7 linked regions of the Cricetulus griseus genome follow. The protein of the gene in region 3 interacts with the protein of the main gene of each other region in a pairwise test. Links are inferred from orthologs where the notes say so. Each region holds a gene or a part of one and is shown on either strand. Other genes may lie near its edges.

Region 1 (4,174 bases), on a different chromosome or scaffold from region 3:
CTCCTTTAGACATAAACATCTGAGAAGCAAGCCCTTCTCCAACCTAATATCAGGGCTTTCCCCAATTTTACCTGTCCTTTCTACCCTATCTTCTCCAAGCTTGACAATGCAGCTCTACCCTCTATGGGTCTCCATGCAAGGATAGAATTCCCACCGTGTTCCTACCCTTCTCTCTGATAATTTAAGGACTTTTCCATGGCTTTCCAAACATGGACCTCAGGGCTGTGCTCAATAATAACAACATGAACCTGAGGACACACCTCTGTTTTCAGTGCTGACTCAATAGTTGACTTGGGCATATTCTTGCTTCGACACATCTCTAAGACATTGGCCAGGTGGCTGTTGTTCTCGGGGTTGGGGCCTCCCTCTGGAAAAAGGGAAAAGAATGATCAAAGACATCTATCTCATCCTAGTATGGAGAAATAAGCAATGTCCAGCCTCTCCAACCCCAAAACAATGGCAAATTACTCTCCATTAGAAAGCAGTATCTAACAAAGAGGGCTCAGTGTGCAAAGTGCTTGCTTTGCAAGCAAAGGATCTGAATTTGATCCATAGAACCCATATACAAGAAAATACCAGCACCAGTTTATAATCCTAGAACCAGGCAGGCAGAAACAGATCCTGAGACTCTCAGTCAGCCAGCTGTCTATGTGGTAAATTCTAGGCCAATAAGAGCCCTGAATCAAAAAAATAAAACCAGACAGAAGGTGGTAAAAGTGCATAAGCCTAGCAACCTGGGGCCCAATCCCTAGGATCCACACAAAGGAGGAAGGCACAAACCAGCTCCAGAAAGCAGTAGGTTTAGGCAGGAGCCTGAACTACATAATGAATTCTAGGTCAGTCTCAGTTAAGAGTGAGATTCTGCCCAGACATGGTAGCACGGTGCCTTTAATACCAACACTCAGGAGGCAGAGGTAGGTGGATCTCTGTGTGTTTGAGGCCAGTCTAGCCTACAGAGTGAGTTCCAGGACAGCCAGGGCTGTTATACAGAGAAACCCTGTCTTTAAAAAAACAAAAGAAAAAAACAGCGAGAGTCTGTCTCACATTGGAAGAAGGAGAAGTATTTTGGGAAAGAAGTTGCTTTGGTGGGGGATACTGGAGACGGAGCCCAAGGCCTATCCATGCTAAATACTATTCTTTTCCATGGGGCTTCATACCCAGTCTGGAAAAGAAGTTCCCAACTCACTCTCCCCTTAGGGATAGTTATTATTTTGCTAGGCTCCAGCAAACTACTTGTGTCAGATGAAGTGGTTGAATCATAATAACATCCTTGCTCTTACTCTATTAGTACATAATGTCTGACATGCTCACAAGACATTGGATTCATGCTCAGGCTCTGAGTGTAGGGGCTACACTGGGTGTTCTTTGTAGTATCCCCTCCGAGATCAAAATAACATGTTGGTTAAATCAAAATTTGTTAGGAGAGGAAGCAAAGGGAAACATCAGGCAGTTGTCGATTAATACCTTCTATATGCTGTCAGCCACCACAAGGTGGGTATTATCCTTGCTTTACAGAAAACTGAAATTCAGTAGTTAAGTCACTTTTTGAAAGGCTTTGTAGCAACCTAGTCAATGAAAGAATTCATATCTTCTTGACTCCAGACCCACACTTTTCACAGACACTAAAATGGAAAAGGAAGGAAGGAAGGTAGGAAGGAAGGAAGGAAGGAAGGAAGGAAGGAAGGAAGGAAGGAAGACAGTTGCACCACCAAGCAGATACATGGTTCCAAACAGACCTGCCAAGAAAGTTTCTCAGGAGCTCCAATGAGGGAAAATGAAGCCCAGGCAAGAAATAACTTGACTCAGCATGCCTGCCACAGCCTTCAGGAGTAGTAAAAGTGGCTGCAGAAGGCTTGGTTTATTCCTTCAAGAAAGACATACACCTGCCTTTTTAAAAAAAGATTTGTTTTGTGTTTACCTGCATGTATGATGCATGCACTGCCCGAGGAGGCCAGAAGAGAATGTTGAGTACCCTGGAACTGAAGTTTCAGGTGCTTTAAGCAATCATGTGGGTGCTGGGAACCGCTGAGCCATCTCTCCAAACCCTGACTTGACTCTTAAGGTTTATTTCTGTTTAGTACCTATCTAACTAAAGACTTGGATGGAGGCGTTTCTATCTTCCTAAGGGCAGGTCTTTGAAAAGTTTTTGGAAAGGAAAACAGGAATATCCACTGAAGGCGGGTGCTTTGACAGTTAAGGGTAGGACAACGATAGCAACTGGAAAACGCAAAGGAAATAATCGGTCCTAGTCCAATTTAGGGGTACAAGGGAAGCCTTAGGCACCGAAAGGGCCTCAGTAATCAGCAGTGAGGACTGTCAAGTTCTCACCTTTAACCGCCAGGCGGATACTGAGAGTGAGTTTACTGAAGATTCGACTCCTTTCCATGTCCTTGGGGCCCTTGATGTGCCGGACTTTAGACCATTTATTGTGTCCCGCGGTGGCCGCCGCGCTGACACGCAGCGTCCTGTGTGGAGTTGGGCCGCAGCCGGGGTTTTCCTGCTGGGAGACGCACCAAGGACCCACGCGAACCCCGAGGCTTCGCGCACGAAAGCATCGGGCAGCCGTCCCTCTCAGGTTAACAGCAGCCCACCACATCATCTGCTTCGACCAGGGGCTGCAAAGTGCAAAGAGGAGCGGCCAAGGTCAAACTGTCTAACCTGTTACCGGAACAAGCCGGTCAGGACGTCCTGGCCGCTTCTGCGGGTCTCCAGAAACCCCAAGGCTCAGATCTACTTAAGCAGCACAGCTGTGAAGGACCGGCGGACGCCGGGCATGGAGACCCTTTTTGGAGCAGTACACTTCCTTTCCCTGTCCGTTGCAAAACACGTCCCCTGCGCCTGCAAAGTCGGTTCCGCCTCATCTTCCTACTCGCCCTAACCCTGTCCCTGCCAGGAGTGACCCAGACCTCAATTGCTCCCGGTTGCTTGGAGACGCCAGATTTCCTTCCAGTGAACTAGTAGAGATTTGTGTGACTGATTTTCCTTCCTAATTCTAAACAAGTCCAGAATAATAAATGTTTCGTTGTTCAAAAAGAAATATGTCGTTCAACCGGTTCATTTTGCATGCAAAGAAACCACAGCCAAGGCTGCCTGTTTAAAAAAAGGAAACAACAAACAAAACAGTCCTAAATGCCGGGAGTAAATGCTCATGTGTGTAATTCCAGCACTTGGAGAGTGAAGGGTCGTGACACCAAGACCTTGTCTCAAAATAAAACAAACAAAAAAAGTAATGTATTTATTTTAAAAATCCTAGCCATCAGCCAGAGAAGTGATTTGACCAGACTTTATGATTTAGATTTTTATTTCTATAAACAAGGATGGCATTGTTTTGCTTTTGCCAACCCATACTGGATAGTTGAAAACACAGCATAAAACCCTGGAGTTTGGAAAAACAAAACAAACAAACAAACAAACAAACAAACAAACACGGTATGTAAGCAGCAATTGTAATCATGATTGGCTCCTAAACCCAAGAAGATGGCTTGGGGACAGAGTCAGGTGAATCGAAAGGTTTGGGGGAAAGAACAAAAGATCAGGCCAGCCTTGAGTCACACTGCTATCTTAATTTTTCATCTGTTGTTTAAAAAAATATTTTAAGTATTTTTAATTTATGCGTATGGTTGTTTTGCCTGCATGTATGTCTGTGTGCCTGGTGCCTTGTAGAGGCCAGAAGAGAACATCAAGATAGCCTAGAATTGGAGTTATAGATGGTTGTGAGCTGCCACATGGGTGCTGGGAATTGATCCTTCGTCCTCTGCAAGAGGTACCAATAGCCTTGACTGCTGAGCTATCCATCTCTCCAGCCCCTTCCACCTGCTGTCTTGACTGAGAAAATTAGAGGAAGGGGACGCTATAGAGAAAGAAAAAACGAAGTAGCAGCTGCAGAATTCCTCTGTAAGAGATCCCCAGGGTGAATTAAGTCCCAAGAGCTTAACTCATTAGAAAAGCAGGACAATGTTAAGGCGGTTTGAAGTTTTGCTCTCTAAAGTTAGACCGGATGGATTCAAACTGTGTTTCTGCCATTTACTAGTGCAACCTTGGGCAAGTTGCTTTACTTTCTGTTTCCCTCCATATATAATGACTTTGAGAAGAACAAGCAGGATGGGGGGTGTGATGGGCACAGATTTTTATTATTACATAAGTATGACCATAATTAGCCTACTCACCTTCCATT
Region 2 (4,207 bases), on a different chromosome or scaffold from region 3:
TCTCCAAAGCTTCCACTGCCCCAGGCAGGCTCACAGCCTTTTTCTACTTGTATCCAAACAAACCTGGACTCAGGTCAGTATAGCTGAAGCCACACTACCGGCTAAAAGTGGCTGACCTTGGCTCTAGGTCTGGGAGGAAAGGGGAAGAATTGGGTTGACAAGGGAGTCCTGTTCAGCCACAGCCAAGAGATCTCTTGGCCCTTCAGCTCAGTCCCAGGAAACCCTGCCCAGATAGCCATCTCTCAGCTCTAGGCCAGGAGGCAGCAGACATGTGAGTTCTGAATAGATACCCCCTCCCCATCGCACACCACAAATAAGAGTTCACATTTACAGCCAGGAACACCCAGCACACTCCCAACTCACAAGAAACCCAATTGCAACCATTTATCAATTGCAGCCAGTGGACAGGGGAGCCCCGGGGCTCCCAGATAACTTATGGTGGCAATAGCCTCTTCCTTTCTGCTGCTCAGCTCAGAGTTCGGTTAACACAAGTTCAGGGAAACTGGGAAGCAAAATTGCTCCAGCCCCAAGGTGGGGAGACAGAGCTGAGGAGGAGTAACAGAAAGTCCTTTAGGCTTAACAAGCCTTCTAACTGACCCTGAGGGGAGACAAGAGAAGAGGGGCAAAATCAGGAAATAATGTATACAGGCTTTTCTTTTTTCTCTTTCGCATCTCTCCCTGGACCCCAGGACACAGAAAAGTTGCTCCCCAAAAGCGGAGCCTATTACAAGTAAGATCCCCCTCTACCAGCTTCTCCCTCCCCAAGTGAAAAGCCCTGAATGTCTGTGTGTATTTTAAAATTCAGTTCATCCTACACTAAGTAGCGTGTCTTACCAATTTGCAGCGCTATTTTCTTAATGTGATTGCCTGGGATGGGACCCGAAGCCACATTAAATATGAAAGAGGGGGGGAAACTGTTAATAATTGATCCTAGCCAAACGGCTGCTGTGCAATAATGGGCTTTCCAGGCCGAGTTTGGGGCCATGGGGTGAGGGCTCTGTTTGGGTGTTTGCAGGAGGTTTGGGAAGAGCTGTGTTCCCGGATATCAGCTCCTAATGACTCAACCTGGCAGGTTGGAGGTATGGGGATTGCAAAGGCCTGGGGCGGGGAGGGGGGTGCAGAGTCTCTCCTTACTTTTCAGAGGGCAAGCATGCCCCCAGAGGACCCATTGGCTACTCTTTTGGTGGGAAATCTGACAAGGCAAGCAAGAACTAAACTACTTGTCCAAAGGAGTAAGTGGTGAGGAGTTGACCTGTCAATCTGTCCATAATTGTTTGGGAACTAAGAGCCCCCAACCGGTTTGTTTTTCCCACCTTTAAAAAAACGACAAGTAAAAGAATCCTCTCAGCCAGCATCGCTTTCCGCACGGGGTTTTTAGCAAGGGTGCTTTTAGGAATGGGAGGTGGTAAGAAACTCTCCGCTAAGGGTAGAGTTCTCCGCCCCTGCGCAGTCTCCCCCCACCCCTCCCCCGGGTCCCTTCGGGACGTCTTCTTTTCCATTCTGGAGGTGGGCCCTGACTTTAGCAAGTGATTCCCAGACTCTCTGAGAGGCAGACTGTCCCCGGCTAGTGCTCCAGAGCCCCGCGGAGGGGGTTGGGAAACGCAGAGGCAGAAGCGGCCACCCTGGCGAGGATGCCCTAGGAGGGCGGGGGATCCTGGAAGGAAGGCTCCCGGGGAGGGGCCGGCGCACCCGGGAGGGGGCTCGGTCACCGCATCCTGGGCTTCCCCCGCCCCTCCCGGCGCCGGCTGCCGACCCGACACGGCTACTGCGTGAGATCTGCTAGGAACAATCCTCAGCCAAGCTGTTGCATCGCAAATAAAATCCTAATGAGCCCCCTCCCCCTTCCCCTTGGCCGGCGGGGACCGTCTGCGCGTGGCTCAGGCGGCTCTGCCGGGTGCGCTCCGGCCCGTGCCCGCGAGGGCTCTGGGCCACGCTGGCCACCGGCCCGGCCCCCTCGCTCCTCAAGCAACTGTCGCAGCTCTCTTTCCCCCTTTCCAGCCGAAGGGGGAGAAAGGAGGAAGGACTAGAGGATTGATCCCTGAGGCTCAGTCCAGGCGCCACTAGGAGGAGTAGGGGTGGCCTCCTTGTCCCCCTCCATGGCACACAGCTTCTTCCTACCCAGGTCCCTTCCTTCCTCTTCCTCCACCCCCTCTAGCCCTGCAGCCCCCGGCGCGCTGTCCCTCCACATTGTCCGCTTTATGGCTTCTCTCCTCCCCTCCCCCGGGCCTGGCCTGCAGCCTGGGGGGGGATTTCCTCACTTTTTTTTTTTTTTTTATAACTTACTTTGATCCGGCCTCTCTTTGTCCTCGCTTCCTTCGCAAATTTTATTGTCCCCGTAGCCGGCTCTTTGATTAGACAGGACAGCCTCCCTGCCCGCCGAAGTTTCCAAACTGTACTCGGGCGTGCCCTGTTTGAGCAGCTCCCCCGGCGCGCCCAGCAGCGGCTCCGCCTTCACCGCCGCCTGGCCCTGCCCCGGGGTGGCCTCGGCGCGCGGCGCCGGCTCCAGCCAGGTGCGGAGGTACCTGCTCTCTGCCGCCGGCGCGCCCTGGGGCTGCAGGTAGGGGTGGTAGACGGACGGCAGGCTCCCCGACGCGTGCGGGCTCAGCGGCGCCCAGGAGGCGCCGAACACCGGCGCTTTGGGCTGGAAGCTGCACGAGGGGAAGTCCAGGTGCTCGGCGTGGCTCGGCTGCCGCGGGTTCGCGTACTGGCCTGAAGGAAACTTGGCTGGAGGCGCGTCCTCACTCTCGTGACTTATGATCGAGTCGACATAATAGCTGCTAAGCGTCCCAGAAATGGACATTCTCAGACATTATCCGCGCGCTCGCAGGGGGAAGGGAAGCGCTCGCGCCTCGGCGCCCAAGCAGGGAGAGGTGGCACACGGACCCGGTGTAGAGGGCTTTCGGACGCGACCCCCCCAGACCCCCACCCTCCCACCCCACCCCCTGCTCAACTTCTCAGCCAACAAAGTACAGTGGAGCAGCCCGGCTCGGAGCTCCTTGCAAAATGATTGGTCAAAGTTTTGCGGACTGCCTGATAAAGCGTCAGCTCCGACATAAATCAATCGGGCGAGGGGGCTGCGCTCGCGCTGTCATCCGTCCTCACCGCATTCCATATCCAGGATGGATTGTTTTATGCTGATGCAATGTGCTATCACGTCAGGGCTCCGGCGGCCACGTAACCTCAGCCAGAGCTGCCGGGCCGCCCGGGGCCCCTCCCGCTTTTGCAGGAAGGGGGGTTCTCAACATGGGGCGATGGGGGCGGAGGAGAGGCGGAGGCAAGCAGCGGGCTTGCCTCTGGAGGGATGATGGCTGCGGAGCCCTCTCCCCAGGCGGGTTAGAAAGGGAGGGGAGGAGGACCAGCATACTGGGAGAGAGAGCGCCCCAGCCTCAGAGCAGCGGGAGAGGCCCGACAGGGTAATTAAAGAGGAGGTAGTCTTGTCATCCCCCAACACCTCCACCTCCACCCCGCAGGCCCTCATTTCCTGTCCTCTGTCCCCTTGACAGAGATGTTTATTAAACAACAGCAGCACAGCGACCCACAGGAGAGAAAGTAAAGGGGTGGGGAAGAAGTTGGGGGTTTTATAGGACAGTTATCCTCTTTGGAGGGGAATCAGGGCACAATTTGGGGAGATTTACATGACTAGGCTCTTCTCTTGATCCTCCAGGAGCTCAGGGAGGAGAAAGGGAATTTCAGTGGAACCAATGTCCAAAGACTCACTATCTGGCCTGAAATTAGAGCCTGCCTCAGGCCAAAGGGACTAGCCAGACCCCGTAGCTAGTCTACGAAAGAGTTTCACGGGACTAACCAGTCTTATTTAACTCCCTGACATTTCTTGGGCCTTTATGAAGGGTTGGGTCCACGGCCATTTCTTCTGTCCTTCGTCCAGAATCCTCTGAGACCGTAAAACTGTCCAGATGAGGAGGCCAATGTGAGAAATGATTAAAGGAGCTCTCCAGAGGTAGGGAGAGGGTCCCCAAACAGCACAGTAAGCGACACCCGGTTACTTTCCTTTTCCATCCAAAAAGGGAAGGAGGCAAGCTAAATTCTTAGTACTTGTCCAGCTCTGGAAGATGTCCAAATGCCGACATAGGGCAGTACCAAGTACAGCGGAGTCCCCAGAACCAGTCCGTGTCCCCCACCCGCAGCCTTCCCCCCTACAATCCTCTGGTGGAGCTTCCAAATAGTGCATTTTATTAGCAGCTATTCT
Region 3 (3,952 bases):
AACAACGCCACTGGTAATAAAGCTTTGGAATTGGTGTTCATGCTATTATTTCACTACAAACAAGATAGAGAGCAAGATAAGTTGAGAATTTATTCTAAAGTATAATGGAGGTTGTCATTGTCTACAAAGGCACTCCTTACTCCTCTGCTGCCATTTTTAGCAAGTACTCTTTGTCAATCTTGAAGAGCCTCCATCCCTCTTCACTGGACAGGTCAGAAGCACCTCTTCGTTTGTAGAAGTTGATAGATGGTTCATTCCATTCTGCTACCAAGAAGTGCATACTGCTGCAGCGACACTTCATGGCAACCTAGTACAAGAGAGAAAACATAAGCCCAGTGACATTTCACCCGCTTGCCAAGACCCAATTTTGATTCATTCATTACAATAACCCAATAACTCTTACAAATTCAGAAGCCTAAATCTAGGACACCTGGGTGTATGTGATGGGCCACAACTATGATCCCAGCACTAGGGAGGTGGAGACAAGCTTGAGGCCAGCCAGGGCTACATATTAATACTAGGCCAGTCTGGGATATACAAAGAAATGCTAGTGAACATACCTGGCTTAGATTCTTCAAAATTTCTGATCCTATGCCAAACCCTAAAAGAAAGCAATACAATTTAGCTTAGTCATTTTAAGGCCAAAGGCTCTGATTTCTCTTTAAACTGCCTCCAATCCCAAATTCAATTGTACCTCTGTAATCACTCATCACAAAGAAGTCTTCAAGATAAAGTAACTTGCCAATCCATGGGTCATAGGTAAAATAGTACATGGCGAAACCAACAATGCTGTGTCCTGTAATAAGAGTATCCCATGAGATACAGAGAAAAAAAGCAAACCATTCAAGCTGTATTGGCAGAAACAGAAGCCTATCATAGATTGTAAGAAAATACACGTGCATGCATCATGGAAACAAGTAGTCATGAACTGGACTGCCTCCTCATGTTTATGCTAGTACAGTGCAGACCGATGATGGACGATCTCTCTGGTCTCAGACATGTATTTGCAAAAAGCACACATTAGAGCTAGCTGAAGCTAGGCTACACCTGTGGACTGGCTAGTCTGCAGTCTGCTGGACTCACACTCAGGAAATGAGAACACTTTCATTACTTGCCAGAGCAAAATTGCCACAGACTTAAACTAAACACACACATTATTCACATCCTGATGACATACTGGTATGTCAGCTTGGCAAAAGTTGGGTTTACACAGCAGTTTAGAAGAGGAAATATTTGTAGTTTACCAACTCTTGCTTCCTTAAGGTCAGAACACCAGGCCAAAAGTACTATGTTTACTTTCAGAACTTGTCTTCCCATGCATAAATTTTCAATTTACTTTCCCAAGTTTTTAAGGCAGGAGAAGTAGCAGTAACAAGAATCCAGTGTTACGTAACACCCACTTACTTCTAAAAGCCAGCTTATCCCTTGGGTGTTCTTATTACATTCTAGCCTCGGGAACAGACGTCAGAAGAAAATTGAAGAAATCATCCACCCAAGCAACTTCCCCTTTTAGCCCTCTTCTGACCAGTCAACAAGGGTCAGCAAAAAAGAAATACATAAATAAAAATAAAAATAAAACCAATTCAAAATTGACTCCCTCAAAAGGAGTGTCAACTCAATTCCAAACGGAGGCAATGGTTGCAAATTAAACTTTCTAGCCATTTTCTATTTCTTTGCAAACAGACAGGAAGCGAATATAAGTTTCTGATCTACCATGTTTTAAGTGTGCGATAATAGGACCTTACCTCATTTATCATGATCATCTACTTTATTGTGTAAAGGATCTTTTAGTTACCTCCCCGCCCATCCATGTACACAGAAGGGCCATGTACATGGCGAAGCTAGAGACTGTAACCTGAGGATTGGGACAAATTAAAGAAAAAAATGTGATTTAACACAATTACAAAAAAAAAAAAGATTAGGTTAGGGTCAAACAAAAACCATTTTTATGAAACTGAATTACAACAAATGACATTATACCTAACTCTTCCGGGTTTCCACAGCACTCTGATACTTGCTTAAACAGCTCTCTTAACCCGCCCTATTATAAAGTACTGCACATACATTTTCTTTTTCCTCAGTCATTTGCACACTGGCTGGCTGTTATTTCTGACCAGCTTCTCAGTAACTTCTGCCCGTGTAGTTACAGGTTCTGTACAGTAGACTCTACGGTTTTGATACAACACTCGTTCTCTCTGGCTTCTGGACAGGAAGAAGGGGTTACCTTCAGGGGTCCAGTGCTCTTTAGGCACTTCTGCAATCAGGCAGTGGTAGAAGGGGTGTTCTCCAAAACCATCCTCTAGGAGATCTGTAAAATGGGGGAGGAGGAGACAGTGTTGACTTTTGTAGGTGTCAGGTAACAGCTTGTTGCCTCCCTGAGGCCCCACTCTCCCCACTTCACCTCCCCCCCGCCACGACTTCGTTACCTTTCTCGGTTAACATTACTTGATCTTCCATGTATTCATATTTAGCCAGTTCCTGGGAATGATACATATAAAAGAAAGGACAATGAAAGTCCTGTCCAGCCCTGCCAGCTCACAGAAGGGGAAATGGGGTAGGCGGGGTCCGGTGGTGACTGGCATGGAACTTCTGGACCTGACCCGGGCTGGGGTTGGCGGGCTGAGAAAAGGGAATTATTGACTGGGCAACATCTCAGAACCGAAGATATCAACTCCCCGAGGAAACGGAACCTCCCTCACCCTCCGCCCTAAGGAGAGCCGGGCCTTTTCCCTACCTTGATCAGTCGCAGGATGTCACTGCAGTCAGAGGCAGTGGCTGGACGGATCTTGAATTTAGCCATTTTCGTCTTTTGCTTTTCTTCCCTTTGCGCACCAGGCCCCTGTACTTGAACAGCAGGAGGAGGTGGTTCCTCATTCGTCTCCCGGGAGCGTCCTCTTCTCAGTCAGGCTGGCACCATGACCCGGCGAACCTCAGTGTTAGACAGAAAACTGGGAGAGTTGCTTTGGGAAGCTGCGCAGCTAAGTTGTGGCAAGACCTTGCCTTTTAAGTCCGCTGGAGCTCCTCCTCGGGACCGTGAGATGGAGCGATCACAACCAGTAAGGCTGCGAGCCCGCGGGAGCACCTCCCTCTTCCGGGCTCTCTCGTGACCCTGAAACCGATGGCGCAAACCGGGAGGGCGGGACAGGGCGAGGTGCGCCACTGCGCTATCAAGGCCTTGCGTCCCCTAGCGGCGCCTCAGGGATCCTTCCAGGAAGCCTATGAGTGAGTGCCCGAGTGTGCCCTAGTAACCTCTGTAAATAGAAAATGCGGATTGCCCCTGTGACCCCCGGACATTGCTGAGAAAAGCAAACTCAGAAAGCCTGACTTTTGAGGATGACAGAAAGATTATTCTAGCCATTTTCAAAGTGTGATCGGGAGGTGTAATTTTTTCCCCTTTTGTTGTAATTTTCCACAGGCAGTTCATTGCTATGTGGTGATGTCATCGTTTTCATGACTAAAGGAATGTGTGTGTATTTGCATTTTTGTTTTGTTTTTGAGACAGGGTCTCTCTGTGTTGCCTTGGCTGTCCTGAAACTCTCTATGTACAACAGGCTGTCCTAGAATTCACAGCTCACAGAGATCTGCCTGCTTCTGCCTCCCCAGTGTGAGGATTAAAGCATGCACCACCATGTCCTGATCTTCTTGTATTTTCTCTAATTCCCTAAGATCAAATCTTAGGATTCCTTAATTTCTTTCCTTCTAGTTCGGCAGTTTTCAAACTGTGGGTCACAATCCTTGGGGGTCGCACAACCCTTTTACAAGGGTCACCTAAGAACACAAATATTTACATTACAATTCATAACAGCTAAATTACAGATATGAAGTAGCAATGACATAATTTTATGTCTGGGGACGACCACACATGAAGAACTGCATTAAAATGTCGCAGCATTAGGAAGATTGAGAACCAGTGTCCAATGACTAAAGTTGTAAAGTATTTTCTTTTTACTTC
Region 4 (3,500 bases), on a different chromosome or scaffold from region 3:
CATCTAACATACAGTGTGCTCTGGAAAATGCTCTACTCTTCCATCCGGAAACTAAACTCCAGAGAAGACATTTGTCCCTCCCTCCTTACCAGACTTGTAGTAGGCTCACAGAAGTGGGTAGATTAGCTAGAACTACAGCAAGTCTTTAAGGCCTTTAAGGGAATGCAATCTTTCCATTAAGTATGGGGAGGGCTGGATCTACATTCAATCCCCAAGAAAGAAGAAAAGTTACCTCCCCAGACAAGAGGTGGCACTTACCTCCAGGGAACATGGTAAGTGCCTGCTGTATCAGGAGGGAAGCTTGTTGCCTGGCAGAGGTGAGCTCATGCTCAGGTAAGTCTGTTTGCTGACTCAGAAGGAAATATGCCAATGGGACCGAGAAGGCAAAATTTGGGAGTTGCGACAGGTTCCGATGTGCCTATAATGGATGAAGAAACAAAGCCCAGACCTTAAGCTTGTGAAGACAAAACACATAGTTTGCACCGGATGCCAGGTGAGTCCTACAACTGCTTCCTTGTGGGCCTTTCAACTTAACTTGGGATGAAGAAAATCCATTTTCTACATATAAAAAACACAGAAGGACACAGACGGGTAGGAATCAGCTCAGTCAGATGACTGATAGTACAGCAGGAGGCAGGAGCCTCAGAGTCACTAAGGATGGATGTCCGCTGCCTAGACTTGCAGCTGTGGAAGCAGGGAAGTCAGCCCTCTTGCCTATGCAGAAAGCTCATAAAGGAAGTCATCAAAAGTGAGATCTGATGCCACCTAACCTACAAGTGTTTTCCAGTACTTCCCTTTCTTTCTCTATGGTTTGTGAGAAGACAAGTGACTTGTTCTATGTCTTCTCTATCGTGTATGAAAAGTGCATGCACACATGTACACGAGTGCTGAGGCTGGAGATCAATACTGGGCGTATTTCCTCAATTGTTCTACAGATTGATTTCATTTCTTAGCTTTTTAAAAACCATTGACTTATCTATTTATTTGGTATGTATGTATATGTATACATGGACACTATGGCACATGTGTAGAGGTCGGAGGACAGCTTGCGGAAGTCAGCCCTTTCCTTACACTATGAGGTTCTAAGGATTAAGTTATCAGGCTTGGTGTCAAGTGCCTTTACCTGCTAAGCCATGTCTCTGCTTCTCTACCTTCATGCTCTGAGACAAGATCTCTTCTCCATACCCGAAGAGCATCAATTTATCTAGGCTAGTTAGCCAATGTACCTGCCCCTGCCCTGTCCCCTACAATAACTGGTTTTATTCTACAACCACATAAGCCATAATGATCACTCACCTGCAGCCCTCTTTGGCATTTCCTGTAGCCATGCTTTCATGAGCTCCAGGGATTCTATAAATCAGATCCCAAAAAGCAAAATTTCCTGGCCAACTATATCAAACATTATGTACTTAAATTATTTATCTCATCTGGGCAGTGGTGGTGCACGCCTTTAATCCCAGCACTTAGGAGGCAGATGCCAGTGGATTTCCGTGAATTCAAGGCCAGCCTGGTCTACAGAGTGCCAGGAGAGGCTCCAAAGCTACATAGAGAAACCCTGTCTTGAAAAACAAAACAAAAAACAAAAAACAAAAAAAAAAAAAAAAAAAGAAAAAAGAAAAAGGTTTATCTCTTTTTTGATAATGGAAAAATATGCACTGTGAAAAACACTCAAAAGTAGAAACAGAAAACACAGGCTTATCACCTTTCTCCCTTACTAGGTCCTGCTGGAAGCAACCAGCACAAAACCCAATGCCTCTCTTTTCTGACAAGAACCAACCATGGGATGGGATGGGAGTCCTGTACTTCTTTACACTGTCTAGCAGTTGCATTATGGAGAATGGCAGAACTGATCTTAAAGCATGGTGGTTAGCCCAATAAACTGAAATTGTCACTTCAACACATGTCCACATTCATGGACAAGACAGTTATGTTTTTTCTGGTGTTGTCTGGCACACAAGGTGCATTTAGCATTCACAGCGGCTGGGCCAGATGGCAGCAGTGTGGTGTCAGGCTATCCTTCATTTTTAGTTACATGTAAATCTGGCAAGGCACAAGTGACTGGTTTATGATTGTCTATCCAGCATTTCTGCAGAATGTGGGTCTGTATGCTGAGGTTCCCTATGTCACCCCACATGGCGCTTTACTTCATGGTTACTTCTTTTTTCTTTTTTTTCCAGACAGGGTTTCTCTGTGGCTTTGGAGGCTATCCTGGAACTAGCTCTTGTAGACTAGGCTGGTCTCACACTCACAGAGATCCGTCTGCCTCTGCCTCCCAAGTGCTGGGATTAAAGGTGTGCACCACCACTGTCCAGCTCATGGTTGCTTCTTACACGGACACAGTGACTTCTGGGGTTAACCCAACTTTTCATCACTACTAGTACCACTGTTTGTGCATATGTACTTGGTGTAGACCTGTGAAATGGGGTTCTTGAAAGGCTGCTGGACACCCTCTAGGAAGACTGGATCTTATCCAGCAGAGATAACAAGGAAGCCAGAAAAGAAGGGGACCCTTGGGATCTACCTGAGCTCTGACTCATGCCTTCACCATCTTATCATAAAACTGTCCCTCAAACACTTAGGGTGTGGATAAGAAAGGTAAGGGAGACACACAGCTGCACTTGCAAGTCACAGCACATGGCTTACACATACCTCCCACTCCTGGAAGAGGCGGATCAGGTACTCATAATTCCGGGCCCGTAAGGCCAGATGGTCAATAAGCAGCAGCATGCACAGGGGGTCCTCATCTGGCTCAAGGCTTCCGGAGGCAGCACAGTTAAGTGGAGAACAAGGGAGACAGAGGAAGTGTTGTCATGGCTGGAGTCCCCACAAATCTGGGATCACTGTGGTGGGGACAGGTGGCCATGCAGTCAAAGTGAATACTCACCTCAGGATGAGCTTGCAGTACTCCAGTGCAGTACGTGGGCATCCTCGCTTCTCCAAGAAACTCATCTGCTTGTAGAGGGCCAGGTAGAAGCTCCTAGATCAAGGACAGTTACCCATGAATTAGTGACAGAAAAGCAGCAGAACATGACAACTAAGAGGCCCAGCACTGTGTCTACTCTCTGGGTTGAGACAGCATTTCCTGAATGGCTAGATATAATCGTGTTTGTGAATATTGCCTGCATGTCTGGAGGAAATATGTGCTCCTTGTTATTTAATTATGAATGTACTTAGACAGGAAAATCAAGCTTTTCCAGTCTTGAGACATGGTCTGACTATGCTGCCAACTCTGACCTTGAATAAATTGGCTCAAGAGATCTTCCTACTTCAGAATGCCAAATCTGTTCACAGGTGCCACTATCTAGTATGTGATGAAACCCCTGTCTTCTTTTTCTTTCTTTTTTTTTTTTTTTTTTCCTTTTCTGGTTTCTTAAGAGGGGATCTTATGTAGCCCAGGCTGGCATCAAATTTACTACATAATCAAAGATGACCTCAACTGATTGATTCCTACCTCTCAGTGCTGTGACTACAGGCATGTGCCACCACATCTAGCAAAATCT
Region 5 (4,106 bases), on a different chromosome or scaffold from region 3:
AAAGTCTTCTAGTGAATAAATTTATTCACATAAAAATAAAAACTTTTCAAAAAAGACCCCCCCCTTTCCAGTGACTACAAATCCTGCCAAGTTTTAAGCAAAGTTGTATTTGTATGTTTTGAGACAGGATCTCATGTAGCCACCAAGGCTGGCCTGAAACTTACTATGTACATAAGGATCCTACTACCACCTCTGGCCCCCAAGTGTTGCACCTATAGGCATGTACCCCACTCCTGGTCCAAAAGACATTGTTATATGTGAGAACTTAGCCAAATGAGTTGTGATTTTGCAGAGAGACAGAACCATCTTTAGAACAACTTCAAGAGTCAAAGCATCTGGGAAGAAAAAATGGTGGCCTCCCATTGGTTCTGCTTCTTGGTGAAAGGAAAGGCCAGCAGATAGAGAGGGAGGATAAGCAACACGGTTCCATAAAAGGCCAGATATTGGGAGGCTAAGGGAGAAGCTTGGGAGGAGCGGGTATAAAAGGTAATCTGAGAAAGTATAACCCAACAGAGAAAAATCCTGTTCGCAAGAGTTCTGTGTGTTTAGTAGCACCTCTGGAGTATGAGACAGTCCTAGTTATCACAATCCTGATGGTGGAAGGAATGTAGGAGCCAGACAGGTTCTGAGTAGCATCAACTCTTAGTGGAACAAAGTGTTTTCTTACTTTAACCAGCATTGCTTAGCAGTAAAAGTTCAAATTTTTTCCCACTAAATATAACAAGAAAAAAATAATGTTGAATGGCAACTGATTTAGGGACATCCATTACTCCTGTTAGGTTTCAGCAACATTTTAATTACTGAAAATGGAAATGACATGTAAATTGCACACATAAAAACAATATGAAAATACTTCTCAGATATATGTTTCGAGAAAAATACAAAAGAAAATGATCATTAGAAGTAAAATTGGTTCTGTTTTTCTTCTTTTGACAAAGGAAAAAGTGAGACACCCATTTTTGCCATCATTCTGTATTATTTAAATTAAAAAATAAATTATTGGTATCTTGACTATACATTTAAAATGTCTTACATTTATAGACCTTCAAAGTTTACGTTTTTCTATTCTCCTATAAAGAAACACACATTAAGAAAACAACAAAACCAAGAAAAACTCAAAAGCTGCTAATTTCCCAAAAGACAAACCATGAGATATCTCCAACCTTAATGCTCTCTGCTTCCACCCTAATTCTAAAATATTTAAGTGATATATTCATAGGCTTACCTATTTTGTTCCACAGTCCAACCCTGCATAGGACAGTCAAATTCAAGTTTACAATAAGTACTAAGGTGATATTTTTTCCCAAGCAAGACGCCATATTAACATTTCTTAGGATATATTTTATACAACAAAAACCAACAGTAAAACATACCATCCAATTAAAATGTAATGTAAGTTAGATACATGTTGCTTGCACACACAGTAATCTGTTTCTCTCAGCAAAATATTTGTAATTTCAAAATTCCTATCATTTTCCCATACAATATAACAAGAAAAAATTAATATAGTCCTTTATTTTTAGGGAAAGTAGCATAAACATGATTTTTTTTAACTAAAGGGAATATTATGAAAATAACAAAGTCACCAAAAGATGGAAGATAAATATATCATGTTAGATTGTTATTATGCTTAAAAGTAGTATCATGTTATATATGCTTAAAAGTAGTATCATGTCTAAAAGTTCCAGATTAATGGGTAGTATCTAATTAGAATCATCACTCATCAAAAATAATTAGTACAAGCAAACTAGCACAAAATGATTTAAGTGGAAGTAGAGCACTCATCACTAAAGGGTCAAGATTTTGGGTGAGTACTGATTCCATGTCCCAATTAATCATTTCTTTATCAAATTTAGAAATAATCTGGAAAATAGAAAGCAAAAAATAATCCATCATTTGTAATCTTTTTCTTCTTTTCTTTTGCAAAATCATCAGGATGGAAACTGGCACTGCTCCAGTCCGTGAAATACTAGAAAGAACCTGCACCTGCCAAGCTCAGTGCAGAAAACACACAGAACAAGAGGGGTGGGGGAGATCAGTGACTTGCTGCTTTGGGAAGCAGAGAACTAACTCATTCTGTTGTGGGTTGATCTTTGGCACAATCCCATCCAGTTGCTTTACCAAAATACCTCTGGTAAGAAATCCTCTTTCTCTTGGGAAGGGGGGGTGATAGGCTTGAGGAACCAAAAATCCGAAGAAATATCCAGCTCAGGGAAGGGGGAGTGGTTGGAAGAATTCAAGTGACCCTGTGACGTCAGGAAGAAGCAGAGGTTTAAGGAATGGAGGGGAACTCACCGGGCTGCACAGATGTCAAAGGTCAAAGGGCATAGCCTGGCAGGCTCCCCAGATGCAGGAAAAAAAAAATGAAACGCCCACTCCTGAACTCTCAATGTAAAGCAGAAGTCCAGGGGCTCAGTTGTTTCTGCCTTTGACGCCAGGGACAAGCCCTACCATGCACAGTCTTGGCAACAGTCAAAAGCAAGACCCGCCCGACTCCAGAGCTCTAGTTTGGGAATCCCCTAATACTCCTCCCCCACGCCCCCTCCTGCGCCGGAGGCCACAGACACCTTCATCTTCACTCCCCACCTTCTCCTGGCCCTCTCGCTCTTAACAGCATCGGTCTCCATGGTGACCTGAAACCGCAGCTCCCATTGGCTCGTTCAATATGAGGGCCGGGCCAATGGGGAGGGCCGGCCCTCTCCTTCCGCCCAATGGGGCGGGCGCGCAGCCTGTCTGGGGACGGCGGCGTGCTGACGTTCCCGGGTGCCTGGACTGGCCGGGCGGGCGGGCGGGCTGGCGGCGGGGCGGCGGCCTCCGAGCAGTCTGAGTGGCTCCGGGGCTGAGTGCGCGTGGACGCTGGCCGCGGCGGCGGCACTATGGGCACGGGGTAGAGGCGAGCTGCCGCCGCCACCGGGTGGTGGGAGAGCCTCTTCGGGGAGGGGGCGGGTGGGAGGGAGGGGCGGGCAGCGGCGCGGTTGCCGCACTTCTGCCAGTTTGCTCCGGTGCCGCAGCGGCGACCCTTCGGCGCGGATGTCCCTGGTTCCTGGAGCGACGATGACCTCCGCCTGAGCTGGAAAGTAAGTGCGCGCTGCTGGCGAGAGGGCGCGGGGCTCCGGGGTGCGAGCTGCCCTGAGCGCGCCGAGCCGGGACCTGGCGACGGCCGGGCGCCCCCCGCGGCTCCCTGGCCCCAGTCGCTCCGTCCCCGCCGCGTGCTCCGCCATCCCGCTCGCCTCTCCCCTCCCCCCGGCGGCGCACAACTTTGCCCCGCACGGCTCCGTGCGGCCGCTTCTCCTCCAGCACCGCTTCCCGAACTTGAGCCCCGCGGCTCCCGCGCGCCGTCGCGCCAGGAGCCAGCCGTCTGTGGGTCCGTCCCTCGTTCCTCAGAAGCAACCGCTTACCGCTGCCTCCCACGCCCGCCCCGCGTATCGCCCTGGCCCTTGGAGCCGTACTGGTGCTCGTGGCGACCGCACGGCAGGTCCAGGGCTCCCAGCTCTCGGCTGCAAACCGCACGCTCCTCCCTCGCGGGCGCCCCAGCCCCAAGGCTACGGGCCGCCCTCCCGCACCGCCCTGCCTCCTCGGGCTGCCAGGAGTTGGAGAGGGGCCGCTGCACCCATTGGAGGATCGGGGGATCCCTGTCCCCTCCTGCTCCTTGGGAAACGAGGGGACCAGCGGCGGGGCCGGGATTTAGCGGTGTGGTGGCTGAGTGCGACACCCCGCGAGCGCAGGCAGCGGAGGCGCCGCGGTTGCTCCGGGTGCCGTGATAGGCAGGTGTGTGTGTGTGTGTGTGTCCAACGGGCGACGCGCGCTGCCAGCTCGTAGGCTGGCGACAGATTGTGCTGGAATGCAAGGAATGCACCAGGGACAGAGTCCGCGCGGGCCGCGGCCGCACTAGCGCCTTCCCGGCCCTGCTTTCCCCGCGCAGCCAGAGGTCACGGAGCATCTTCAGAGCTGGTGAGCCTCGTTTACTGTCCTGTCTCCGCTTCTCTCCTTGCGGCAGAGGGCGGCGGAGAGGGGAGCGCGGTAGTTTCTTGGGGCTCAGCAATGGTTCTGGGTTTTTGCTGCATTGGTCTCCAGGACCGTGAATTTGGGTGTCAGTGTAGCCAAGG
Region 6 (3,890 bases), on a different chromosome or scaffold from region 3:
CTGTGTTATCCATAACTGTCATATTCATTGCCATTCATTATATGCAAGATAGTGTGCTATCCTAATAGCATCCATGATCTCAGTTGGTCCTTCCAAAGGTGGAGTGGAGGGAATGGATTCTCTTGTTTACACTTTATAGATGAGGTAACTGATGTTCATTCAAGTAGTTTGAATCTAAACTGAAGAAAATTGTTTTTTTAAGGGTGCTTAATTCAGCAACATTTTATGAGTGAAAAAATTGAAAGAGAATTCCTTGAGATAAATGAATAATGGAAACAGCTGTAAACTCACAGCATTGCTGTTGTGGAATGAAGAGGATGCTAGTGAGAATTAAAACCTGGCATTGGTGAAGGGGCAGAGAAAAGCAAGAACCATGTGGGTTGAGAATGGACAGAAGCAAATGAGTTGCCACAAAAAAAAAAAATAGACGGAGCTGAACTAATAAACAAAGAAGAAAGCAAGATGGATGTTGAGTGGGAGAGATTTTAGAGCAGCCTGCCCTGTGCTCTTGAAAAGTTATGGTCTCCTGGTGTGTGCCTCCCAATTGGCCTGAGGACAAGAGAAGCCGTGCGTGTAGAGTAAAGGGCTGTTTGCTCTCTATGCTTTGCTTCTTTTTATTTTTCTCCTGTGCTTGTTTCCCACCCCTCCTCAGGTGAAGTGCTTCTTCTGAATGAGTTAGCCAAAGAATGTTCTTCATTTCCTGATTTCTATGGAGACCTCAGAGCTGGATTTGCCTCTGCTGGAGCCTCATCTTCCACCCTCTCTGCCTTCCAAGGTCTTTGCCTCTATCTACCACTTGGCGTTGTCTGTGGGTCCATGAAGCCTTTGATGATCTTAGAGAGAGCCTGGGAAATCTTCCTCATAGACTGAGCAGCAATGGTTGGACATATTCTAAGGCACATCTTAACATGGGTCAAGCCAACACTACACGGCAAGTGCTAAGACTAAAGACTTATTTGCATTTTATTTAAATTGGATGGACTGGGTTTTGGACAATTTCCATGCAGAAAATTATATTTCATTTTCTAGGCACAACTTCTGGCTGTCAGATACTTGCTGCCTTTGAGTCTTGTAGCGTCATCACCCAGCGCATCCCAGACATACTTCCAGATTTGAACATCTACCCCAAAACACGTAGGTGTTTGGGAGACCGCAACATTTCATGACTTATGTTTGAGGAGCACTAGGCTGTTGTCTAGACTAGCCAAGCTCTGGAAAGCAACGCTGAATCTCTGAGAAGAAGGAGCATGGGGTGTGCTGATTTAAAAACAGAAAATGCAAAGTTGTACTGAAAATATCCTAAGTCTTCCAGGCAATCTGCTTAAGGCTTCCAAACTTACCTTAATTTGGTAAGAAAATAAGCTGCCCTATTTTTCTTTCTTCTTCTCTTACAACTGGAACTAGCCATTTCCCAAAACCACCACCATGGAGGTTGCAATGGTGAGTGCAGAGAGCTCAGGGTGCAACAGTCATATGCCTTATGGTTATGCCGCCCAGGCCCGGGCCCGTGAGCGGGAGAGACTTGCTCACTCCAGGGCAGCTGCAGCTGCTGCTGTGGCAGCTGCCACGGCTGCTGTGGAAGGTACTGGGGGTTCTGGTGGCGGTCCCCACCATCACCACCAGATGCGTGGGGCCTACTCCTCCCATGATCCTCAAGGTAGCCGAGGTAGTCGGAGGAGGAGGCGTCAGCGAACTGAAAAGAAGAAACTCCACCATCGGCAGAGCAGTTTTCCTCATTGCTCAGACCTGATGCCCAGTGGCTCTGAAGAGAAGATCCTGAGGGAGCTGAGTGAGGAAGAGGAAGACGAGGAGGAGGAAGAAGAGGAGGAAGAGGAGGGAAGGTTTTACTATAGTGAAGATGACCATGGGGATGGGTGTTCGTACACAGACCTGCTGCCACAGGATGATGGAGGTGGTGGTGGCTACAGTTCAGTCCGCTACAGTGACTGCTGTGAACGTGTGGTGATAAATGTGTCCGGTCTACGCTTTGAAACCCAAATGAAAACTTTGGCCCAGTTTCCAGAAACTCTGCTGGGAGACCCTGAGAAGAGGACTCAGTACTTCGACCCTTTGCGCAATGAGTATTTTTTTGATAGGAACCGACCCAGCTTTGACGCCATTTTATATTATTACCAGTCAGGAGGCCGTCTGAAGAGGCCAGTCAATGTGCCCTTTGATATCTTCACTGAGGAGGTGAAGTTCTATCAGTTGGGAGAGGAAGCCCTGCTCAAGTTCCGGGAGGATGAGGGCTTTGTGAGAGAAGAGGAGGACAGGGCTCTGCCAGAGAACGAATTTAAAAAACAGATTTGGCTTCTCTTTGAATATCCGGAGAGTTCTAGCCCTGCCAGGGGCATAGCCATTGTATCTGTCCTGGTCATCTTAATCTCCATTGTCATTTTTTGCCTGGAAACCTTGCCAGAGTTCCGGGATGATAGGGATCTCATCATGGCCCTGAGTGCAGGTGGGCACAGCAGGTTGTTGAATGACACATCGGCACCCCACCTGGACAACTCAGGGCACACAATATTCAATGACCCTTTCTTCATCGTGGAGACAGTGTGTATTGTGTGGTTTTCCTTTGAGTTCGTGGTTCGATGCTTTGCTTGTCCCAGCCAAGCTCTCTTCTTCAAAAACATCATGAACATCATTGATATCGTCTCCATTTTGCCTTACTTCATCACTCTGGGCACTGATCTGGCCCAGCAGCAAGGAGGTGGCAATGGTCAGCAGCAGCAGGCCATGTCCTTTGCCATCCTCAGGATCATTCGTCTAGTTCGAGTATTCCGGATCTTCAAACTCTCCAGACACTCCAAAGGCCTGCAGATCCTGGGCCACACCCTCAGAGCCAGCATGCGGGAACTGGGCCTTCTGATCTTTTTCCTCTTCATTGGGGTCATTCTCTTTTCCAGTGCTGTGTATTTTGCAGAGGCAGATGAACCCACTACCCATTTCCAAAGCATCCCGGATGCGTTTTGGTGGGCTGTGGTAACCATGACAACTGTGGGCTATGGGGACATGAAGCCCATCACAGTGGGAGGAAAGATTGTGGGGTCCCTGTGTGCCATTGCGGGTGTCTTAACCATTGCTTTGCCTGTGCCGGTGATTGTGTCTAACTTTAACTATTTCTACCACAGAGAGACTGAAAATGAGGAACAGACCCAGCTGACACAAAATGCAGTCAGTTGCCCATACCTCCCTTCTAATTTGCTCAAGAAATTTCGGAGTTCAACTTCTTCATCCCTAGGGGACAAGTCAGAGTATCTAGAGATGGAAGAAGGGGTCAAGGAATCTTTGTGTGGAAGGGAAGAGAAGTGTCAGGGAAAGGGGGATGATAGCGAGACAGATAAAAACAACTGTTCTAACGCAAAAGCGGTGGAGACCGATGTGTGAAGCGCTTTCTCCACCTGCCACTGCTCCCCACATCTCCAAATATATTCATGCATAGAGAGTGCAGTTATGAAAATGAAATATGCAAATGATTGCACTGCATACAGTAGTACACTGTTTAATGGTAATACACGGCATAATTGTGACTAAATTTGTATTGCATATCAAATAAATGATACATCTTGGAGAAGAGGGAGGCTTAAATAGAGCAGATTTATCTTTATATTTTTTAATAGAATGCAAGAATTTTGCACATAATGGGAAAAGATGTTAATAGTAAAGATGGTCCTGAGGAGTGTGTGTGTGTGTGTGTGTGTGTGTGTGTTAGAGTGTGTGTGTGTGTTAGAGTGTGTGTGCACACGGGTGTGTAAGTAAATTGTCAACATTGTTGGGAATTGTGCTGTGATTGGAAAAGTTGGCATTCTGAAGTATTTACTATGTAAGAACTGATGAATTTGAGCAGTCTTTTATCAGTGTTTTAATAACATCTCCTATGTCTTTGG
Region 7 (3,500 bases), on a different chromosome or scaffold from region 3:
AGGACTACCCAGTGAGACCTTGGCTGGTTGGTGAGATGGCTCAGTGGCTAAGCCATCTTGCCCTCAAGCTGACAAGTCAAGGTCAGTCTGAGGAACCCACATGGTGAGAACCAACTCCCAAAAGTTGTCTTCTGAGTTCTACATAAAAATAAAACCTCCAAAGAGAACAATAAAAACTAATTTGGGGGACCTTTGGAGGCACAATGCAATACTTCAGGTAGGATATATGCTTGAGTAGAGAGATAAGGGAAGGTTCTAGAAAGATTTCAGAACTTGACCTGATAGAACTGATACCTAGCTTTTGAGCCAAAAGGAACCTCCCTCCAGCCCAGGTAACAAGGTAGAAGCATCTCATTAGCTAACATGAAATCTAAGAAAAGTGGTTAAGGAAATACTAACTGAAATCATTTTGGAGGGGAAACTAATGGATTGTCCAGTAATTTCTCCCCTCTATAGACACAGTATATCTTCAATTTGATATGATTCCTGTTTCGTTCAAGTTCAAAAAATGTAGTAGGGGTTGGCAGTATAGCTTGGTAGAATAATATTTGCTGGCATGCAGGAGACTCTGGGATCAACATCCTGCACTGCAAAAACAAACATAGAAAAGAAAGGGGAAAAGCTATGATTACACTTCAACCTGTGCCAGGCACAGCCCTGGAATCTGCTAGTTTTGAATGTTTAAGAAATAAAGGAAGGTTGAGGGAGAGATCCAGAAATGGTCCTACCTGTGAGGTAAAGGTCAGCCTCCACTCCTTGTAGAACGCTGCCCCCAGAACCAGCACACAAGGCCACAACTTTGACTGGGGATTCTTCAAGACAAAAGCAAGAGGTGTTATTATAGAGAGACATAACCTCTTTCAGTTTAACACTACAACTTGTACTACAAATCCCAACCCTGTCTCTCCACCAGTATATGAATTATGCTGTCTTGATTTAAAAATGGGTATAATGGGGTACCCCTTTAATCCCAACACTTGGGAGGCAGAGGCAGGCCGATCTCTGTGCATTCGAGGCCAGCTTGGTCTACAGAGCAAGTTCTAGGACAGCCAGGGCTGTTTCTCAAAGAAACCCTGTCTCAAAAAACCTAAATAGAGATAGAGATGGGGGCGGGGGCAGTGGTAAGCGGGAGGAGCCTGGTGCTGGCACATGCCTATAATCCCAGGATGTGTGAGGATAACCCTAAATTCATGGCTAGCCAAAATTTGAACTTGAGCAAAACTAGTGATCCTTCCTGTCTCAGCTCCACAAATGCTCAAATTACAGGCATGTGCGCCAGCATGCCCAGCTCCAAATACAATGTTTAAATTGAGGCAAACAAATCCATCATTGGCACCACACAGAGAACACAAGACAAGGGCATTGTTCTTTGGATGCAGCTGCACAAACCCTAAGTCTTGAGTAATAGCAGTGTTTGTTGCACCCCCAGCTTTGCCTCAGTGCTAACAACAAACCTCAGCTGGGTCTGCAGACAGTGCAAGAGGGCATGTTAAAGAAAGGGAAATGCAGAGCAGATGAGATGGATGGTCAGTTTAAAAGCACTTGCTGCTCTTCCAGAGGACCCAAGTTTGGTTCCCAGCACCCATATCTGGTGGCTCACAACTACCTGTCATCAGCTCCAGGGGGTCTGACAACATACACACAAACACTTCAAGTTAAGGAAATCTTTAAAAAAAAATAGAAAAGCAGTATGTTACACATATATTAGGTACTCTTCCTTTCCTCCTTTTTAAAGACAGGAGTTCAGGGTGTAGTCTTAGCTGTAACTCACTTTTTTAGATCTAGCTCAAACACAGAGCTTTACCTGCTTCTGCCAGGTACTAGAAGGTGTGGACTGCATCCTAGTCTAGAATTTTTACCTAATGATTTAAAACACTCTATTCCCACTGCAACAATAACCAGTTTATAATTAACATACTTCTAGTGCTGACTGGAGATGAACAGATGAACCCAGAAAACTAAGAAATAAGTTTTATCATTTAGGCTCGGGAGATGTATTCCACATTACAGCCCAGCCCACCCTGGTTGACAAAGTAAACCAGTTATGTCCCTGAGCTGCTAACATGTTTTCTTACCACTTACATGAATAAAAGTAGGACACACCTGTAATCCCAGCACTTGAGAGAAAGAGAGAGGCAAAAGGAGTTTGAAGCCATTCTATGCTCTATGAGATCAGGTGTCAAAAGTAACCAAAACCAAAATCTGTCCAAAGTCACAGTAGATCTGCAGACGATGAAAGACACTTACCTAAGGTCTTCCCTACTCCAAGAGCTAAGCGAAGATGAGAAAGCTTTAAGTATCCTTTAACTCGCTCTATCATTGTTGCCAGGGAGACAGATTCATCCAGTGTGCACAACCGTCCCATTCCAGTATCCAGAAGCAAAGGCTGAAGAGAAACTCAAGTTAGGAACATTATCGATCCCCAGGCCTAAGAAATGTATACAACAACTGGAATCAGTAAGATTAATGTACATAAGCTGTGGTTGCTTAAACTAAAGTTTAGGATGCAAATCTAACAAAAGCATTCTAACTTCTGAGAGCTCACACACACCCTGCTAGATATTTTGTTTGTTTGATTTTGTTTTTCAAGACAGGGTTCCAGCTGTCCTGGAACTCACTCTGTAGACCAGGCTGGCCTTGAATCCAGAGATCCTCCTGTTTCTATCTCCATAGTGCTGGGATTAAAGGCATTCGACACCACAGCTTGGCCCTGCTAGATATTTAACACATAATCAAAAGTTAAGTTTTAAATTCAAGGTAGGTGCTACTGTTATGGAAAAATAAAGGAATGACAAATGGAACTGGAGAGAGGGCTTAGCAACTAAGTGCACTTGCTGCTCTTGCAGAAGACCCAGGTTTGGATCCCAGCACCCACATGGCATCTCACAACTACTTGTAACTCCAAGTGATCAAGCACCCTCTTCTGACTTCCATAGGCACTGTCTATACCAGGTACACACACATATGTGCAGACAAAACACTCCTACACATAAAATAAAAAATTATACATATAAATGAGCTGCGACTGGAATCTTTGGTTTTACTGGCACTTAGAACTTAAAGAAAACCAGAAACGAGATAAAAATAGAGTGATGTTAAGATGTGAGCAATGTGGACAGAGCAAGCCCAGCTCAGAAGATTTCAGAGGGACCTGTAGACCAGGCTGGCCTCCAACTCAATAGAGATCCACCTGCCTCTGCCTCCCTGGTGCTGGGATTAAAGGTGTGCACCACCACTGATTGGGGAGACTATTCTTGTGATATGTGGCAAAGAATGTGGCTGTTTTCTGCTCTTGTTCTAAAAATCTGCCTGAGACTAAATCAAACATTTTGCTAGAGGAGATTTCAATATAGTCTGTCAATTGGTTACTAGTTATTACTCTTATGCACATCCACAATGAAATCCAGCAAGCGGGCAAAAAGAAATACAAAATGTAGTTTGAAGAGTAAAAGAACACCAGGAAATTTACTGTTTGAGCCAAGAGATAGGGAGAAGCCTGA

What was found.
Region 1: the proteins of Sat1 (region 3) and translational activator of cytochrome c oxidase 1 interact in binary tests that used the Homo sapiens proteins (3 or more experiments, as listed by UniProt). The two-hybrid records come from large-scale screens. The link is inferred for Cricetulus griseus from reciprocal best matches to the Homo sapiens genes SAT1 and TACO1.
Region 2: the proteins of Sat1 (region 3) and homeobox protein Hox-B9 interact in binary tests that used the Homo sapiens proteins (3 or more experiments, as listed by UniProt). The two-hybrid records come from large-scale screens. The link is inferred for Cricetulus griseus from reciprocal best matches to the Homo sapiens genes SAT1 and HOXB9.
Region 4: the proteins of Sat1 (region 3) and Tcf25 interact in binary tests that used the Homo sapiens proteins (3 or more experiments, as listed by UniProt). The two-hybrid records come from large-scale screens. The link is inferred for Cricetulus griseus from reciprocal best matches to the Homo sapiens genes SAT1 and TCF25.
Region 5: the proteins of Sat1 (region 3) and Ccdc148 interact in binary tests that used the Homo sapiens proteins (3 or more experiments, as listed by UniProt). The two-hybrid records come from large-scale screens. The link is inferred for Cricetulus griseus from reciprocal best matches to the Homo sapiens genes SAT1 and CCDC148.
Region 6: the proteins of Sat1 (region 3) and Kcna4 interact in binary tests that used the Homo sapiens proteins (3 or more experiments, as listed by UniProt). The link is inferred for Cricetulus griseus from reciprocal best matches to the Homo sapiens genes SAT1 and KCNA4.
Region 7: the proteins of Sat1 (region 3) and Nif3l1 interact in binary tests that used the Homo sapiens proteins (3 or more experiments, as listed by UniProt). The two-hybrid records come from large-scale screens. The link is inferred for Cricetulus griseus from reciprocal best matches to the Homo sapiens genes SAT1 and NIF3L1.

What each region holds. Positions count from the first base shown.
Region 1 is NC_048600.1:119,001,248-119,005,421, reverse strand, and holds the start of translational activator of cytochrome c oxidase 1, read right to left. Parts: upstream 2,801-4,174; 5' UTR 2,600-2,800; coding exon 2,329-2,599; intron 368-2,328; coding exon 261-367; intron 1-260. UniProt on the Homo sapiens protein: Acts as a translational activator of mitochondrially-encoded cytochrome c oxidase 1.
Region 2 is NC_048600.1:109,428,850-109,433,056, reverse strand, and holds the start of homeobox protein Hox-B9, read right to left. Parts: upstream 2,801-4,207; coding exon 2,284-2,800; intron 1-2,283. UniProt on the Homo sapiens protein: Sequence-specific transcription factor which is part of a developmental regulatory system that provides cells with specific positional identities on the anterior-posterior axis.
Region 3 is NC_048604.1:90,683,124-90,687,075, forward strand, and holds Sat1 (diamine acetyltransferase 1), read right to left. Parts: upstream 2,801-3,952; coding exon 2,735-2,800; intron 2,479-2,734; coding exon 2,427-2,478; intron 2,309-2,426; coding exon 2,225-2,308; intron 797-2,224; coding exon 695-796; intron 602-694; coding exon 561-601; intron 308-560; coding exon 137-307; downstream 1-136. UniProt on the Homo sapiens protein: Enzyme which catalyzes the acetylation of polyamines. Substrate specificity: norspermidine = spermidine >> spermine > N(1)-acetylspermine. This highly regulated enzyme allows a fine attenuation of the intracellular concentration of polyamines.
Region 4 is NC_048596.1:200,061,730-200,065,229, reverse strand, and holds part of Tcf25 (transcription factor 25), read right to left. Parts: intron 2,978-3,500; coding exon 2,885-2,977; intron 2,756-2,884; coding exon 2,650-2,755; intron 419-2,649; coding exon 259-418; intron 1-258. UniProt on the Homo sapiens protein: Component of the ribosome quality control complex (RQC), a ribosome-associated complex that mediates ubiquitination and extraction of incompletely synthesized nascent chains for proteasomal degradation.
Region 5 is NC_048599.1:115,769,225-115,773,330, reverse strand, and holds the start of Ccdc148 (coiled-coil domain-containing protein 148), read right to left. Parts: upstream 2,801-4,106; 5' UTR 2,296-2,800; intron 1-2,295.
Region 6 is NC_048599.1:70,439,945-70,443,834, reverse strand, and holds Kcna4 (potassium voltage-gated channel subfamily A member 4), read left to right. Parts: upstream 1-1,425; coding exon 1,426-3,390; downstream 3,391-3,890. UniProt on the Homo sapiens protein: Voltage-gated potassium channel that mediates transmembrane potassium transport in excitable membranes. Forms tetrameric potassium-selective channels through which potassium ions pass in accordance with their electrochemical gradient.
Region 7 is NC_048595.1:412,841,755-412,845,254, reverse strand, and holds part of Nif3l1 (NIF3-like protein 1), read right to left. Parts: intron 2,387-3,500; coding exon 2,248-2,386; intron 813-2,247; coding exon 729-812; intron 1-728. UniProt on the Homo sapiens protein: May function as a transcriptional corepressor through its interaction with COPS2, negatively regulating the expression of genes involved in neuronal differentiation.